Sus scrofa: one gene and its partner. The protein of the gene in region 2 purifies or fractionates together with the protein of the main gene of each other region. This does not show direct contact. Links are inferred from orthologs where the notes say so. Each region holds a gene or a part of one and is shown on either strand. Other genes may lie near its edges.

Region 1 (3,655 bases), on a different chromosome or scaffold from region 2:
CCCTCAAATTGCTTCCTCCATCCTAGAAACACCCAACGCTCAGCCAGCGGTGCCTGAGGGACTCTAGGGAGGCTGGGGTCCTCTGGCTAGGTTCATCCTGGGCTTGCTGGCTGCTGTGTGTCCTGAGCTGGGTGTGAAAAGAAGTTCCAGGATGTGGAATCATTTCCCTGGAATGTCCCAGGCATCCCTCCTGCTTCGGTCATATCTGAAAGCCGGGCACATGATGACAATTTCACCTGGTCCACAGGGAGCTGTGTCAGACTTCTCATTAGGCGACTGGAAACCTGAGGCCTGGAGAGGCCAAGGCCTTCGCCCTGAGTCACACAGACAGCAAACATGGAGGGATCCGAGAATACTTGGGAAGAACAGACTTGGGTCTGGGGGCCTCAGAAGACCTGGGTTCCAGTCCTGGTTCTGTCACCTATCAGCCCGGGTCACCGACACTGTCACTCACCCTCCCCTGCCTTGGTTTCCATCACGGAAATGGAATAGTAATACCCATCTCTTGAGGTTGCTGGGAGGACTCCATGAGAATAAAATATAAACACTTGCAATAAAACCAATTATTCTGATTATCAAGGAGCACAGGTGACAACAATACCAGGACCCGGGTGAAACGGAAAGAAGCTGGACCCACTGTAAAGAGTCCGGCTCTCCCTCACTCACCTGTGCAGCCCTGAGCAAGCCTGGGCCTCAGTTTTCCAAGGCCCCGGGCAGCTGTAAGATGGACGTGTCTGTGGCTTATGCCTCTGATGTAAGAATTCTGGTGCTGGCCGCCCTGATCTCTTGACTGCCCTGCTATCTACGCCCTACATGGCCTTGGATCCAAGACTCTTACCAGCGAGTGGCCAACAATGGGAGATCACCTTGTTCCCAATGGGAAGGATCCGTTGGATCCCTTGCTCCATCCCTCCCACCCATTTCCTCGGGGCTGAAGTGCACTCTCTCAGCATCTGCTGCCTCCCAGCTTTAAGGGTGGGTGGGGAAGGGGAGCAAGGGGTGATGCGGGGGCTCTTGTAATGAAACTGACGACAGAGTCCCCATGTCAGATTCCCATGGAAAGCACAAGCTGCCTGGATTCCCTTCCTCCTCGGGACAGCTGAGTCCTAACTGTCCTGCCTTTACATCCTGCCTCTCGCAGGATGGCTCCCAATGTGCCAGGCTCCTGATCCCTTCTCCGAGGAGCTCCTGGAGGTGAATTAAATATTAAATACGCAAGGCCAGAGGCCCTGGTGCAGCAGCACGTTCTCATAACACAGACAATGGCACGCAGCCCATCAGTCTCTCTTCCAGCGGCTGCCACTCTCCATCTCCAGGTGGGGCTCCCCTGCACCCCAGCCTGTGCTCCTGAGAGGGAATAAGAGATGGTGAGGTTTTGCTCTCCCCACCAGGTCATGGTCTGGTTCTATGTGTCTTTCCTCCAACTCTCAGTGTTAAGGGCTCCAGGGACCTGGAAATGCCTGGAACCTGAGTTGTGGCATCTGCAGCACTGAAAGTGAACAGTTCTGTGGTTGGCCAGGCGATGGGGGTGGGGGTCCCTCTGTAGCTTAGCTCCACCGGGGCCTGGAGGGAGCTAAGCTCAGGAAGGATGCTGAGGCCCTGATGTCTCCCAGGGCAATGGGAGAACTGGATCTTACTGGGATGAGGCCTGGAGGTGGGGGTCAGTTGGTTGGCTTCTCAGATTAGAACCTCAGAGATGACCAGGACCAAGCTTCTAATTTACAAAAAGGGAAACTGAGACTAGGAGAAAGGAAGAAGCAACTTCGAGGTCACTGCAGTCCAGCTTGGCCTTGATTCCAGGTCTCCGGTGCAGAGCTGGGTTCTTTCCGACCCTCTGCATGACCTCCTTCCTAGGACTCCAAGCAACGGCCCTGCACCACGTGGGCCAAGCTGACTGCCTCCACTGGGAGCCCGATCCCCTCAGAGTCCCACCTCGCCATCTAAGAACTGAGAAAGCACCAGGGCCACGGATGTCAGTGTGGCTCTGCCACCTTGTGGGATGGACCCTCAGTCACGCCACTTTTCTGAGCCTTAGACTCTCACCTGTAAAATGGGGGTTTAAGAACCAGTACCCCAGATGGCTACTGTAAGGATCAATGAGATCATGTGTGAGGGGCATTTTACAAACTGTGACGCGAGATGTAAATGTCAGGTATTAAAGTGGGGTGAGGGCTGATGGTGCCTCGAAGGGAGGATGTCCCAAGGGAGGAGGCGATGCAAGAGTGGGAGCTCACACTCAAATGAGGCTGAGGGCCTGCCTGACTGGCCACCGACCTGACCAATACGGGGGCCACCGGCAGAGACTGACAGGCGGCAAGTCAGGCCAGCCCAAGCTCACTGGCTTGAGAGACCGCCTGCCTGCTTTGGGGTGTGTGTGTGTGTGTGTGTGTGTGTGTTCTCCTAGGTGCTCCTTGGAGGCTCTGCCAGTAGCCCAGAATTGCAGGAATTTGCCTGGCTTCTCCAGGGGAGCATTTGGCAGGAGGGCAGGACACTTTGCTTCAGGCCACATCACAGTCCCTCAAAGAAGAGCCTGTCAGCCCAGATCCCTCTGGGACCCCTGGAGCCCTTACCTTGTACTTGGCTGCGAGCAGCTCGGTGGCCTGCTGCTCCCGCCGCAGGTCTTCCAGCATCTTCTCCTTCTCCTCCAGCAGCTTCTGCTTCTCCTCGCTCACCAGGCTACGGTCATCCTGGATGGCCGCCTTCTCCTCCTCCAGCCGCTCCTTCTGCTCCTGCAGGTAATTCTCCATGTTCTTGTCCAAGGCTGACTCCAGGATGGGCTGCGGCGGGCGGTGGTTGTTGTTATTGTCATCCTCCTCTTCCGCCACCCAGGCCTCAATCACCGGCCCCTCCGGGTACCCGGCTGGGGCTGACACGGCCTTCTTCCTGCGGCTGCTCTTCCTCCGGAGCCGCTTTCCTAGCATCCCCTTCTTCTCCAGCTGGGCCTTCAGGCGCGCAATCTCCTCCTGGAATTCCCGTAGCAGTGTGTCCTTGGGGTCCTCGTTCACCCGGGGCTTGTTCTTGATGTTCTTGGCCCGGTTGGCAAAGCGCAGGGTGGACAGGCTCTCATCGTAGCTGTGAGACGCTGGGCCCAGGGTGGCCACCATGATGGTCTTGGCGTTCCCCCCCAGAGAGTCCTGGAGCAGCCGGGTTAGCTTGGAGTCCCGGTAGGGGATGTGGGTGCTCCTGTTGCCTGCCAGAGCCGCGATCACGTTGCCCAGGGCAGACAGTGAGAGGTTGATTTTGGAGGCTTCCTTAGGCCTCTCTCCACCACCGCCACCTCCCCCACCACCGCTACTCCCTGTGGACTGTGTGGCTGTCCCTCCAGCTGTGTTGGGGCCTGCCTTGTTCTGCCTCTCGCTGCCCGCCAGGTCCACCAGGTTGAGCTTGCCCACACGGATGTGGTCCTGGCCATCTGAGCCACGCTCACTGCACTCCACGGTGATGACGAAGATGGCATGGGAGCGAGAGCTGACCTCGTTCATGTGCGTGCTACCCACCGCCCGAGTCTGGTTCCCCAGGTTCATCACGTGCTCGATCTCCTTGACATTCTTGGTGACGAAGGAGGAGAGGTCCTTGATGTAGACACCCGTCTCGGGGTTCTCCTTCAGCTCTAGCCTCTTGCCAGGCTCCTTGGAGAGCAGGTCTCGAATCTCCT
Region 2 (2,957 bases):
CACCTACTATTCTATGCTTAAAGTATAAATCAAGCACAATAAATAGTATAGTAGATCAGTAAGATTTTAAATTCATATCTTTGATCTATGTTTTCCCTTCAAAGTCTCATATAAGTCCTTCCATAGTAGGTGCTCAAGGAAATATATGTAGATTACAGTTATCTATTTTATTTGCTCTGTTTTCCAAGTAAAATGTCCATATTGTAACATGAATTATTTTTCACAACTGTCTCCCCATTTCTTACTACCTAAATCTTATAAAAACAATCTTATTAATAAATCATTATTGTCTTTCCATTTCTTACTGCCTAAATCTTACAAAAACGCTTAGAAACAGTTATCTAAGTGAGCAAAATATTTTGTTCCTTAGTTTTCTTCAATGAGACTTACAATTAACTTTTCCATACTTTAGATTTCATGAATAAAATTTTAAAACCCAGTAATAATCTAGTTTCATGTATACTGATAGATGTCCTAGGTTTTTTAAATTAAAATCAGAAATACAAAATTAATTTGAATTAATTGCTTAAGAAACTACTCATAGAACATAGTTATGGTACATGTTCCACTGTTAATCAAAAAACCATAGTTAATAACTTTGGGAAGCAACATATCAGGCACATGGCATGAAATAAAAAAAAGGTGATATTCTTGTAAATTTTAAAGGTAGCACATATATGAACCACTTAAGAGATTTACAAGGGGGAAAAAGGACAGGAAAAAATAAAATTCATATTGCACTCCTAAAAGCATGTAAACTCCTAATGACATACATTAAATAGAAACACATGACTTCTGCTAATTCATTTGTACTTTATGCTTCTTTTTAATAGAAATTAAATTAGTCAATTAATGTACATAATGTAGAGTTTGTTTCCCAGTCTAGTTGCTTTTCAGCATTCACTTTTGAGTCTTAGGGGAAATGTTACTCAGCATTAAGATAAGTGAACAGTGTCAAGTATCAAGTATACTTAACATAGGACAGAAGGGGCTGAAGTTAATCTGGAGCTAATCACATGGAACAGTAAAAAGAAACACAGACCGCAATATTATCAACATGCATTATTAGGCCAAGATTCAAAGCTAAGCTAGACTGCACAGATCTCTTCTAAGCTGAGAGCACACAGGGAAAGGGATGACTTTATCGAGATCCATAGCCATAGTAGTAAGGTTCATCAGGGCGGAATCCGTAAGCTGTAGCAGGGCGTCCAAGAATGCCAACTGACTGGCCAAAGCCATCTATTCCAAGGCTAAAAAAAGAAAAAGAAATAATCAGTTATATTTTTCATCCCAGGGCAGGTCAAGCAAGAAGGCTGGAATTTTATACCTCCAAGATTCTCTTCATAGCAGCAAAACTGATTTATGTAGTTGACTATCATTAACCTTTTTTCTTCTTTAAATTAATATACCCATAAAAATGTGTATAATAAATATTTACTTCTAATAATTTGTGTTAAAAATGTTGAAAGCCTGTTATCAGGTGTCATTCAAGATAAAGATCAGAAAAGTTTCAATAAATTACATTCATATATGGTTTTATGCCAGAATATGAAAATATTTTACATGCTAGCAATTATCAGTAATACACTGCTGGGGAAGGATAAATTAAAACTGTAATAAAATAAATTCTTCTACTTATAATAAGATCTCTTTTTTTATAGGACTAATTCACTATTAGTAAGGACATGGAATTGAGTTCTAGCAGTAATCTTCTCACTCAGAGCAAAATCATAATATAAACCTATGACTAAAAGAATAAGACTAAGATTTTTACAAAATTTGATAGTTGGCCAGATTTGATCTGCAAATTCTTCTGACTCTTCAATGAAAATTTATTTAGTACATGTTTTGAGTGACAGCAAGTTAATTATAAAGTTTGACTCAATTTATTCTATGGAAATAGTAGAAGCCCAAGATAATATTCAGAGTTATACAGGCAGACTGAACCCTGGATAAATTTTAAAAATTATTCTTACATGTTAATAATAATTTATTAAAAATCACGTTTAAGAGTCAAAGAATTATCACTTAGCAAAACGACAAGATATTTATTTTGCCAGGCAAATATGGCAGCCATAACATGCTCATGCATAGCTCATGCAGTGAATGCTAGTGAGCTTATTCCCAATCAAAAGAAATTGTTATGCAGAAATGTAAACTTTAAAAAAATAAATACAAATGAATATTATTTGAGGTAGATTATGCTAGGTAGATAACTTTCCCTTTATCAGCAAAAACTCAATATTATTAAAAATATATTCATTTAGACACTAACTTCCTCTCACAACTCAAAATAAGATTATGCTAAAACACTTAAGAAATAACTATTAAAATGCTAAATTTTAAATAATTTGTGTGCATGTGTGTGTGTTAGAAGTGGAATAAAGGGCATGTAATCCATGCGAATCTACCTCCTAGGAGAATGGAGTTTCTGAAATATAAGGTTTAGGTTAGCATTTGTAGTGAGTGATCCTGGACAAAACAAACTTTCGGGCTCCTTCTATAATTTCTGAAAGTTGTCTGAAATTTTTAAGTCCGAATTTTATTTTGAAATGGCAAAATACAAGGCCCTTTCTACCTTTGTCCCATGGAAAGAAAGATTAAAGTTTCTGATGAAGGGAAATATTACTCTAGAGGTAGATTTAAAGATGTTTTAGATATTTAGTTCATGACTAAGACACATCTGTATCTGTTTAAAATTAGGGGAAATGTTGGCCATTGGAAAATTTTCTCTTGAAGCACTAAGGCTAACAAATACTCATGTATCTAAACAACTGTCAATAATATAAAGAATAACTGTATAGCTTGTGACTTTCAACTCCTTTTTTCGTCTTTCTACTTATTACCTGCCTTCAGCCACTCTTTATGTTTTTTAGTGTCTCTTCTGAGGCTGAACAGCGGCAGACTTAGATAATACTCAAGTTATTTTTGTCTCTGTTTCTCAGTCTAGGGCTGTG

What was found. Proteins that work in one complex are often made in the same cells at the same time.
Region 1: the proteins of KIFAP3 (region 2) and KIF3C purify together in Homo sapiens (co-immunoprecipitation; 3 studies listed by BioGRID and IntAct, counting the BioPlex papers as one, with this or other methods). This does not show direct contact. The link is inferred for Sus scrofa from reciprocal best matches to the Homo sapiens genes KIFAP3 and KIF3C.

What each region holds. Positions count from the first base shown.
Region 1 is NC_010445.4:112,976,816-112,980,470, reverse strand, and holds part of KIF3C (kinesin-like protein KIF3C), read right to left. Parts: coding exon 2,571-3,655; intron 1-2,570.
Region 2 is NC_010446.5:81,102,825-81,105,781, reverse strand, and holds the end of KIFAP3 (kinesin-associated protein 3), read right to left. Parts: intron 1,251-2,957; coding exon 1,142-1,250; 3' UTR 647-1,141; downstream 1-646. UniProt on the Homo sapiens protein: Involved in tethering the chromosomes to the spindle pole and in chromosome movement. Binds to the tail domain of the KIF3A/KIF3B heterodimer to form a heterotrimeric KIF3 complex and may regulate the membrane binding of this complex.